Ovis aries: one gene and its partners. The protein of the gene in region 3 interacts with the protein of the main gene of each other region in a pairwise test. Links are inferred from orthologs where the notes say so. Each region holds a gene or a part of one and is shown on either strand. Other genes may lie near its edges.

Evidence for each region.
Region 1: the proteins of ARFIP2 (region 3) and ARF3 interact in a two-hybrid assay, tested with the Homo sapiens proteins (2 studies listed by BioGRID and IntAct). The link is inferred for Ovis aries from reciprocal best matches to the Homo sapiens genes ARFIP2 and ARF3.
Region 2: the proteins of ARFIP2 (region 3) and MAL2 interact in binary tests that used the Homo sapiens proteins (3 or more experiments, as listed by UniProt). The two-hybrid records come from large-scale screens. The link is inferred for Ovis aries from reciprocal best matches to the Homo sapiens genes ARFIP2 and MAL2.

The regions. Positions count from the first base shown.
Region 1 is NC_056056.1:137,260,460-137,264,204, forward strand, and holds the start of ARF3 (ADP-ribosylation factor 3), read left to right. Parts: upstream 1-1,052; 5' UTR 1,053-2,018; intron 2,019-3,745.
Region 2 is NC_056062.1:58,085,691-58,089,435, reverse strand, and holds the start of MAL2 (protein MAL2), read left to right. Parts: upstream 1-1,106; 5' UTR 1,107-1,145; coding exon 1,146-1,277; intron 1,278-3,745. UniProt on the Homo sapiens protein: Member of the machinery of polarized transport. Required for the indirect transcytotic route at the step of the egress of the transcytosing cargo from perinuclear endosomes in order for it to travel to the apical surface via a raft-dependent pathway.
Region 3 is NC_056068.1:46,309,923-46,313,667, forward strand, and holds the start of ARFIP2 (arfaptin-2), read left to right. Parts: upstream 1-1,364; 5' UTR 1,365-1,577; intron 1,578-2,273; 5' UTR 2,274-2,315; coding exon 2,316-2,414; intron 2,415-2,669; coding exon 2,670-2,766; intron 2,767-3,737; coding exon 3,738-3,745. Other genes in the region: TIMM10B (mitochondrial import inner membrane translocase subunit Tim10 B), read right to left, coding at 450-662, 846-941, 1,136-1,177. UniProt on the Homo sapiens protein: Plays a role in constitutive metalloproteinase (MMP) secretion from the trans Golgi network. May have important functions during vesicle biogenesis at certain cargo subdomains, which could be predominantly utilized by secreted MMPs, such as MMP7 and MMP2.

The DNA of each region.
Region 1 (3,745 bases), on a different chromosome or scaffold from region 3:
TTTAAGGCAGGCTAGGTTAAGCTATGATGTTCAGTAAATGCACTTTCGACTTTAGATATTTTCAACTTACAATGGGTTTATTGGGATGTAACCCCATTGTAAGCCAAGGAAAATCTGTACTGCTGTAAATGAGGAGAAAGGGCATTTCAAGAACCTTCTGTGCTTAGCATTATTAGTGCCCTTCTTGTATCACAGCTGTGACTGTTCCAAGGTAACGCTGCATGTCTAGACCAGGTGCAAAAATGAGTGTGATGAAAGTGGGAGTAGGCAGGAACAGAGAAACACAGGTGCAAAATCCCTCACTTTCCTTGTAATACTAAAATTCATACTTGAGGTATACTGCCTCAAACCACACTTCTGAATATTAGGCCTCAACTGTTTATCTTTCAAGTTCCAACTTCCTAACTGGCCCAGTGTCCAGTTGTTTCCTTCAGTCTCTTAAATTCATCACTCTCCCTCTTCCCTATGAAAAAAGATCTCCTGATTCAGAGCTCCCACCCCCACCCCCCAGCAACCTAGCCTTAGCAGTGAGTAGCAACACTGGTGCACTGAGGGCTCTCGGAGGCCTACACCTATCCCTGGTTAAGAAATGAAAATGAGAGCTGAAGGAGTAAGGTCCAAAGCAAGAGATGTTCACTCCTTCTCTGGCTTCCTGACTGCCCAAGGAGCCCCAGTCTCCACTGCGCCCACTACGCCGCCTCAGTCCTTAAATAACAGGCAGAACCCTGGGGCTTCTCACCTGTTCCCACTGTCTCAGCCCTATTCCCTAGCTTCCGCCACCACCGCCCGCAGATTCCAGCCCCCACATCGGACCCCGCCCGGACTTCGCCTCCAATACCGACTGCTTCTGCTGCAGCCGCTGCCATGGTGATGAATCTCGCGAGATCTGCCGCTCGCCGGTGCGCAGCTCTCGCGCGATCGGGGAGGTGGGAAGTATCCCGGTCTGGGGGTGGGGGTGCGCCGCACAGCTCCTGTCGCCGTCGCTGCTTCCGGTGCTAGGTGGAGGGCAGGAAGGAGGGAGCCGGGAGCGAGGCCAGGGGAGCAGCCGCGCTGAAATCGGCTGAGGGAGCCGGAGAGAGTGGAGCGAGAGCCGAGCGGAGCCTGTGGGGGCGGAGGCGGCGGCCGCAGCGGCGGAGCTGGGAGCAGGAACAGGTGAGGGGCTTGGAGGAGGGAAGGCGGGTCCGGGTAGAGGAGAGGCTCAGGGTGGGGGCTGCGAGGATAGAGTCCCCTCGCCCCGCTCTCCGCTCGCTCGCCCGCCCGGCACTGCCTGGCATAGAGCGGTGTGGTCCTTCCCTCCCGAGAGCTCGGGGAGGGGGCGCCGGGCCGGCCACACGCCTGCCCCCGCATTTGAAGGACGCTGAGCTGGTGTGGGGGTGGGGGGCGGTTTTGTCCTCCGCCTCGCACAAGGGGGCGACCTGGGCTGCAGTGAGGAGCCCCTCGCCTGCAGGAGGTGGGCTTTTGAAGGGTCGGGGTTGAGGGGGAGGAAAGCAGTCCTGGGTGAGGTGACATGGGGGCGGCGATGACTGTTTTGTGTTCTTTTCCTATTAAAGGGCTAGGGAATAGCGCTTTTTCCTACCCGCTTTCCGCCTTCACCTTGGTAATAGACCAGAGAGAAGCCTTGCTATGATGACACCCCTCCCCCTATCGTGGGGCAGGGGTCCGTAGGGGGGTTAGGGATTAACCTGGAACACAGGCTAGTGGGACACCCCAGGGGCACTAGCCCCTGGTGGAGGTTGAGCTTTCGGGTCCTGGGAACCGCATGTTGAGAAGAGGGCAGCAGGTGGGGAGCCAGAAGAGAGGAGGCAGCAGAAGGGGGAGGGGGATCTGGTCTTGCTTAGAGAAGAGAGGTGGTGCCTTCCTCCCCCAGGCGTAGCGGGGGCGGTCTCACAGGAGGAGGGAGCTTCTGGTCGCCAGCTCTGAGTTTCGGTCTTCCAATCCGCTTTCTTTCTTTAGGAAGTACCAGGATTCCCGGAACCGAAAATGGAGCCGTTGCTTACACCAGTGTTTGAGGGAAGAAGGTGGGGGTGAGGGGTAGGATGGAATTCCCTGTTAAAACCGGGCCACTTGATTAGCCAAGTTGTAAGTCCTCTTTGGGGAGAGTTCCCTTCTTTCTGGCTTGTATTACCGCTGGTCTCCCTCTGGCTAGGCCTGGAGGACTGTGGTATGTGGTCAGGAGTGAGAAGAAATAGTGAGGTCATCGGGGGAGGAAGAAGTGTAACTTAAAACGCGTCTCCGTCTCTGTTGGATTGGGTCACTCCTGGTCTATGGCATGAAAGTTTTATTTGGTAGGAGATCTGCTGCAGGAGTCTGATTGCTTAGGTCAGTGCAGGTAGGGTCTGCATACTTCTTCCCCATCCCTATTCAGGTGGTGACAGTATTTGCTACCATTTTGTCTTGAGCTTGTTGTTGGGGTGTCTCCACTTGCTATGACTGGAATGGGTCAGTGAATTGGTCATTGTGCATTAGACTTGGGTTTGAATACCATGTCTATAAAAGCTCGTTCTAAGAAAGAAACTGATCCACCTTTTCACAGAATGGATCTTTGACCTTGGATTCAGCTTGGAAGGGTCCTCTTGTATCACATATTAACATTCCTCCTGCCTCCCGGCATAGAGTTATTGTCTTGGGTAGTAAAAAAAAAAAAATTTTTTTTTCTTTTGTAGTCAAATTTTTTATGCGTATGTCTTGCTTTTCCAAAGAGATGAAACTTTGAGTGCAGGAATTGGATCTCATCTTGTGTCCCTCACACTGCCTGGGCACACAGTAAGCTCTCATGAATACTGAATGTGAATAAATAGAACTTAGGTTTTCTTTTCTTTTTTTTAAAAAAATATTTATTTATTTATTTGGCTGCACTGGGTCTCAGTTGTGGCACTTGGGATCTTTAGTTGCGGAATGCAGGATGGGCATGGTAACTCTTAGTTGTGGGATCTAGTTCCCTGACTAGGGATCAAACCCCGGAAAGTCCTGAACTCCGGATTTCTGACCACAGTTTAAGGAAAGAGAAAGAGATGGCTTGGCTGTCATAGAGAGTTCCTGAAGATAGCTGAGTGAGGGTCTAAAGGTCTTTACCCTTTGTAATTAAGGTCTTGGTCTCTCCACGTTTCCTAAGAGGCACAAAAGAGTCGTGGATAATGAGTTAAGACCCCCAAAAGAAAAGTGTTAGAACACAGAGTCATTATTTAGCAGAAATCCTAGATCTCCTGCTTCCCTGTTTTGGGCAAAGGAGTCTCTCCTTTAGACCTAGGTCCTGCAGAGTTGTCTGCAGATTGAGTTCCTGATAATTATGGAGAAGGGAGCCAGTGTATGTATCTGGTACCTGGCATAGAATTGGTGGCAATGAATGGTAGCTGCTATTACTAAACTGAATGCAAGTGTAAGGGAGGACAGATAGCAGGCTAGAAAGAGTGGAAGTGAAGTCTTCCGTGCACGGAGTCATAAAGTGTGTTTGTCTCTGCTGCCTTCTTCCACTGGAGTCATAATAGAGGAAATGGACTCAGGACAGTGGGCGGGATTTATTGGTTAGAAGGAAGTTCTCTAAAACCAGGTTTGTTAAGAAGGAGTCAGTGACTGAGGGAAATTGTGGAATCTACTCCCCCATATACCTTTAGAAATGGATTTCAAGAGGCCTCAGACTCAAAACATGTCACTGTATTTCACTCTCCTCACCGTTTTGTGTGTGTGTGTGGCTACTGTGGAACTTGCCTGACTTGGGATCGAACCTGTGTCCCATGCAGTGGAGGTG
Region 2 (3,745 bases), on a different chromosome or scaffold from region 3:
AACAAAAACAAAACCCTAAGTGTTTAAAAGAAAATAACAGGGTCTTCGCTGGTGCTCCAGTGTTTAAGAAGCCACCTTGTAACACAGGGGCCTAGGTTTGATCCCTGGTGGAGGAACTAAGATCCCACAAGACTCTGCAGCAAATAAGACCTCCTGGGGCAACTACTGAGTTCCTGCAAAACAAGGAAAGTTCCTGTATGATGCAGGAAAGATCCCGGGTGCCCTAACTGGGACCTGGTGCAGCCAAATAAATAAATGAATACTTGTTTTAAAAACAGCAATTCATAAGTTTCAGTCAGGTGAAACCAATAAGTAAAGCTTTATGTGGAAAGTATAACATGCATTTTCATGTCTACAGAGCAGTGTGATGTGTGCGTATGTAAAAATTAGAAAAATAGGCATCATTCTACCAGCTACCATTTAAAGAGCACCTACTTGGGTTTACTATTCTCATGTTGTATCATGTAATTCAGACATCCATATAGAGCAGCTAACCTCAACCCCACTCCACAGATGAGCACGCCACTGGCATGCAAAGCAGCCGGTTCCCTGCCCGCCATCCACCGCCAATAGATGTTGGCATTGACCCATCTGACTCCACCAGGCGACAATGTCCTAGTGGTGTTTTTAAAATCCCACAAGAGTCTCATTTAAAACTGATCCACTCCCCTTTTTAGGTGTGACTGATGACCTTGAGTCACAGCTCCAAGACCTGACTTGTAGTTACATTGAGGAAAGTGGGATAGGGAAGCTGTGAGAGTTGGGAGGAGAACAGGTGAAGGAAAACGTGGAAACTACCGGGAGGGAGACTAAGGGGGAAAAATAAAGAGTCGGGAAGTGGAGCCAGGAGCGCTGGCCTGGGTGGCACAGGGGACCGGCAGAGCGGGCGCAGGAAGAATCGGGCCAGGTGGCCGCCGCACCTGTGCACGTGACCCCCGGGCGCCGCGGCGGAGGCGCGCTCACCTGGGCCCACGTGACGGGGCGGGGCCCGGCCTGGCCGAGGACGGCGCGGCCACGCCCCCTCCCTCCCGAGCGGCGCGCCAGGACCCGGCGGGCCCGAGCGGCGGCGGCGGCGGCGGCGGGAGCCCGGGAGGCGGAGGCGGGCGGAGGGAGGCGGCGGCGCGCGGAGACGCAGCAGCGGCAGCATGTCGGCCGGCGGAGCACCAGTTCCGCCGCCTCCGAATCCCGCCATGTCCTTCCCCGCGCCGCGGGTCACCCTGCCCGCCGGCCCCGACATCCTGCGGACCTACTCGGGCGCCTTCGTGTGCCTGGAGATTGTAAGTGGGGCAGCCTGGGCGAGGGTCGCGTCCTGGGTGGCGAGGACGGGCGGCCGCATCCTGGGCCCCCCCGAGCGCTGTCTCCCTCTGCGCGGTACCCCCGCTCCTGTCCCCCCGACGTGGCCTCCTCCGGCGCTCCTACCCGGGTCCTCCCGGTGCCCAGCGCAGCCCCCATCTGGGCGGCGGCGCCACCGCCCGGGCCCTCTCGCCTGGCACCTGTTACGCGGCCACCTGCTCCTCCGCTGGCGACAGAAATGGTCCCGGGAGAGCGATCAGGAGGCTCCGCGGGACCGTGGATTGGAGACTTGGAGAGTAGACGGGCGATTTGGGTTTGGGGGTACCGTCGGAGACCCCGGGAGGCTTGCCCGGGGTGGGAGGCCCGCGGGGTTGGAGGCCTCGCCTGTTGCTACCTGCCATTTTATTGGGTGGTGCAAGGTGTAGCCGATGACTGGGTGACCAGGAGGCCGCCGGGATGTGGAAAGCGGGGGCGGGAGGTACCAGGAAGAGGAGAAGGAAGGCTAAAGACCTGGGCACTGTTTTTTTTTGGTTTTGGTTTTCCCGTTTTGCCATTCTGAGCGCCCTTTGGATCGGGGAGAGGAGCAGGGCTCAAGAAGCAGAGCAGGGGAAAGGTGAAGCGCGGACGGTCGCCCCTGGCAGTAGCTAACGCAGTGGACTGAGGCTGGTAGGGGAAAGGTACAGACGTACGTGGCTGTTAGGCTCCGAGCTGCCGGCCTTGGCGCCTCTCCCTCATCTACCTTTGAGACTCAGCCCAGTTCCTTGGGCTTAGGTGACCGTCGAGTTATCCGGCCTGTCGTGCAGGCTTCTTGGGCTGCAGACTTGAACTTTTAAAACGTCATTTTATGGAGTTGGGAGGTTTTGAAGCTCGCTGGGAAAAATGTTCAAATATAAATTGGGCAACCTTAGGTTGCATCATGCCCTGAGAACGGCAAATACAGAGGGAAATGTTCGCGAGTCGGAGCCTTTTCTGCAGGCGGGTTTTGTTTGCTCGCTTTGGAGTTTTCCTTTCGTCCCCTCAACCCCCTCCTTTGCGTTTGCATAACCTGGATTTGGGTCGCTTAGGTTTCACTTTTGTGCTTGCGGGGCTGGGACGCCTGGTGAGCATTGGTTTTCTGCCCTATTGTGCTAAGGCACCCTAAGTTAGGTTTTAGCTCAGATTTAAATCTGAAAAAGGAGACAAGTTAAGTTCCAGGCTTTAACATCAGTAATCGGATCGTGACTGCGAGGCTGGAAGAGGCCGATTTGAGTCTGTGCCCAGTTTGGAAGTATCTGAATACTTGGGATGAGGGACGAGCATCCAGGTGAGAAGAGCCAGGAGAGGGAGGCTTTGTGCGGTCTGCACCGCTAGGCCAAGGGAGACAGTGTAGACCAGTGAAGGCTGGTGAGAAAGATTTCACAGGTTCTGGGCCACTTGAGTTTGCTGTTCTTCAAACTCCAGTTGTTTTACATACCTCTGTCAGAAAGTGAAAGTGAAGTCTCCCAGTCATGTCCAACTCTTTGCGACCCCACGGACTGTAGCCTGTCAGGCTCCTCGGTCCACGGGATTTTCCAGGCAAGAATGCTGGAGTGGATTGCCATTTCCTTCTCCAGGGGACCTTTCCGCATTGCAGGCAGATGCTTTACCATGGGAGCGATCAGGGAAGCTCACCTCTGCCAGAAGTTTTTGCCATATCCACTTGTTCTAGAATTTACAGATTGTGCGCTTAAATGCGTTTACCTTCTGCACTTCAGTACCTTATCTTAGCCCATCCTAAGCATTAAAAACATGAATTCTCAAATGTGATATGCTGGTTATATTTTTCTAATATTTATTAAAATAGATACTTGTAAATATATACATATGTATGTATATATGGGCTTCCCAGGTGGCGCTAGTGGTGAAGAACCTGCCTGCCAGTGTAGGAGATGTGAATTCAATCCCTGGGTTGGGAAGATCCTCTGGAAGAAGGTATAGCAACCCATTACAGTATTTTTGCCAAAAAATCCTATAAACAGGGGAACCTGGCAGGCTATGGTTCATGGGGTCACAAGGGGTTGGACATGAATGAATGACTTAGCAGAGCAGAGCAGGTGTACGTATATGTAACGATATGTGACGTACATATATGTATATATATATGCAAAGAAGGCTTATCCCTGTGCTATCAAATCACACGCCATCTCAAGAACCATCTGTGTTTATGTGACACTTTCTGGAAACTCTGCTTAATTCGGAGGGAAGAAAGTGGAAAATGATTTACTCTATTTCCTCTCTCCCACCCCAGTATCCTCTTTATTTATCTAACCCAGTGGTTCTCAACTCCCGCCATACTTAATTGCTCAGGCAGATTTTCAAAACAGTCCCTAGGCCAGACTAATTAAATCAGACTCTCTAGGGGAGCACCTCAAGTCCGTGAGGTTTTTCCAAAATCTCCCCAGAGGTACTAATGCAGTCTTGGCTGAGAACCACC
Region 3 (3,745 bases):
TTCCCAGGAGGTAATGCCTAAAAGCCCTGTGGATTCTTATCTGTTTTCCAAGATATCTCCAAGTGAGCCATTCAGTCAGACAGATTTAAGGATAGCTAGATAGAGTTCCCATTTTCTTTCATCGGGGCAACCAACTTGTTGCTATTACCAATCTTAAAATTTTACCCTCAGACCTTGCTTTAACCAGATGCCTGGTTATAGGCTTTCCTTCTAATACAGAAAGCAACTTCTATGCTTCCAGGGCTGAAGCACTAACTGACAGAATAATAAAGATGGTGCCAACAATGTGGGCAAAACTTCCTTGCCCAGAATATAAACCAAACAGAGGAAAAGTGGGTTTATTAGCTCCAGGAAAAGGAGCAACAGTACCCAGCTCTCGGACAACTCCTCACTTGCTATACACAGGCTGCACCCAGCCCTAGGTCCACTGGCTCCTTTAATTTGAGGGTTCATCCAGCGCCTCCTTTCCCGAGGTTTGCGGATGGCGAGCTGCCAGAGGGTGAGGTTTCCAGTTGTTCAGCAGCAGCACGTGGCACAGCTGAGGCAGCCTCGTAGTCTGCCATGCGGCGCTGTACCAGGGCAGGCATGAGCTGCACGTAAGTGGCCATGAGGCGGTGATTAGAATGGATCAGCTTCCCGGCACAGCTGTGCAGACATGCCTCCTGGAAGACAGGATGGAAGCAGAAGTCAAAGGAGTCCTGTCAGGTCCTGCCGCAACTCCTGCCTAGGGGCGAGGGTCATAGAAAGGCCGGGGCCAGAGGTAGGGGAAGTGGCGGAAGAGAGAAGCAGTCTACTGTTAACTCTGAGGATAGAGGGTAATTCCCCTACTCAGTTCCCCACCTAACCTCCTCAGCATCCAGAGCTCGGTGGTGCAGGCTGGGCACGCAGCGCTGGAAGCAGAGTTCCGTCATCCGATTGTAGACCAAAAGGAAGTCCCGCAGCTGAGAGGAAGGGGGACAAGGAACTCAGCGAAGAGGAGCCACATCTTAAGGCCGAGCCGCCCGAGCTTTCCCAGGATCGCGCCCCACGGCCCGACGTTCCCAGCCCTCAGATGCTTGGCTATTTGGGGTTCCCGCTATGCAGACAAGGATGCTAGTTGAACGCATGGCCCTAAAGCGACTTAGCTCCCACTCACGTTTCTCAATTGCTGCTGCTGCTGCTGCTGTTGCTGCTCCATCACGCCACCAGCGTGAGCTCTAGGTCATTTCCTTTTCAGCTTCTCGGTAACGCCCCGGAAGTGACGTATCGTAGCTCCCCAGGGACAGAAGGGTTGGCTCCAGGATCGCCCCGCCCCAGATGTCAACATCACTTCCGCCCTCATAATCTGCGACGTGGCCGGCTTCTTCTGCCCGGGTGGGGACGTCACTTCCGCCGAGTCCCTGACCTGCTGCTAGGATCGCGACGGGAACTGGAGCCGGAGGTCCCCGCGCGGCCCGGGCCTGGCGCCCTGAGGGGAAGAGCGGCCCGGCCCGAGGTGAGAGGGACATGCATGGGCGAGGGCAAGTTGAATGCACGAACCTGAGAGGGCAAGATGCCTCTGAACCCTGGGGAAGGATGAGGACACACCTGATGCCCAGGTGCATGGGGGGGAGGGCGGAGACTCACACACCTGGGGAAACTAAACTGACTTTGGAAGGGATCACCTACCTATGTCCTGGGAAAAAAGAGGTTTTTTCCAGAGGTCGAGAACTTAGACCAACTGATATAACTAAGGCCTGGGGGGCAGGGCCCGAGGAAGAGGAGGTGCATGGGATGGAGGAGGGGGAGACCACCTGCTGGAAAGGGGAAGAAACACGAAAGGAGTGTGAATAGCCAAACAGTGGTGAACATACCTGAATGGGAGTAGACACCGGAGCTCGGGGAAAGGGGTTAATCTCCTGATGGGGAGAAACACCTGCATGGGGATGAGCTTCTTGAGAACACAGACTTTATCTCTCTTGTTCGCTGCTGTATCTCCATTGTCTCAGATAGTGTGTGACACAGTAGGCACTCATTAAATGTCTGTGGAGTGATTGAGTACGTGAATAACCCGCGGAGTTATGGTAGGGTGAGGGGTTCATGGGGACATGACCTCAGGTCAGACGCACCTGAGGCCTGGGTTTGCCTGTGTACAAATATGCACCTTGGACGGGAGAAATACACAGAGTTCAGGGAAGAGTGGTGGCCAAACCCCAGAACTCTGAAGCCCTGGGACAACCTCTGAAATGGTAGGGGAGACTTTCCTCTTTGGAGTACTGGCCAGTTTCCAGAGCTGTCTGTGTTGGGCTTTGCAGGGCGCTGGGGTGAAGACCTTGACTCCAGTCCCTTCGCTCGCTATGACGGACGGGATCCTAGGAAAGGCAGCCACAATGGAGATCCCCATCCATGGGAACGGTGAAGCTGGGCAGCTTCCTGAGGATGATGGGCTGGAGCAGGTGCTTCTGTTTGATTCTTCATATTGTTTCAGTTGAGGAATCCCAGCTCATAAACCCTCAACTCTCACCTCCGTTCCAGTAGCCTTCCCCTAACTTACCTAACTCCCTTCAATCTTTTTACAAATTTTTGTTCTGATTCTGTGCAGACTTCCCTTGTGTGCTCTCTCTATGATGCTTCAATCCAAGCTTGTTTTCACCCCCAAAATGCTTCAGCTGCCCCTATGTTCCTGAAGCCTCCTCTTCTCTGGCCTATAGGACCTCCAGCAGGTGATGGTGTCAGGACCCAACCTCAATGAAACCAGCATTGTGTCTGGTGGCTATGGGGGCTCTGGTGATGGACTCATCCCCACAGGTATGAATGATCAGAACAGGACAGGGTGCTTGAGTGGAGATGGGGAGACGGATGGTTCCAGGGAGCATCAAAAGTTCAAAGTTCAAAGTGAAGTCGCTAAGTCATGTCTGACTCTTTGAGACCCCGTGGATTGTAGCCTGCCAGGCTCCTCTGTCCATGGGATTTTCCAAGCTTGAATACTGGAGTGGGTTGCCATTTCCTTCTCCAGGGGATCTTCCTGACCCAGGGATTGAACCCAGGTCTCCCACACTGCAGGCAGACTCTTTACCGTCTGAGCCACTAGGGAAGCCCTAGACTATGGAAGCATAGACTATGTCTAAGAAGGCTTGCATTTTGTTTGGAGATCCTTGGAACCTCTGCTAGTATGAGCCTTATGGAATCTCAGCCCAAAGCCAGCTCCCAGAGTTGTCCTTCTGCTCCCACTTGCAGTTTAGCCCCACTTGTACCTTTCCCTGCTGTCACTGCCTAAGACAAGCAAAGAACTCTGTTTCACAGCTCTCCTTCCCCAAACCTGCTCTAGAGCCTGAAACTGATTTGGAACTTTGTGAGGCTTCTCAGAGTTTTAATTTGACTCTTAACATTTAGAAGAACAAACAGTTGTGAATCTCACACTGACTAGAATCAACATGGGAATTGTCAACCAGGTTTTCTGTTTGCTGGACTCACCATCCATGATCAGTCACCCCATACTGGGCCTACTTCCTGCTGTTTCCTCTACCCCTGTACACATGCCACTCCCTCTTCCCCCCTTTTCCAACCCTCACTTTAAGAAGAGGCCACTGTATATTGGGATTTGGGTCTCAGGGCACAATGTAGAAGTTTCTCCTAGTGAGTAAGAGAATCTAATTGTCTCTAGCTTCTGCTCCTTCAGGGAAGTCATTTTCATGTGCTGGGAGGGGAGTGGTGGGGGAACCACAGAGGTGTCTGATTGTATCTGAGAGAGACTGGTGTCAGAGAACTTGGTCCTTTAGGGTCTGGC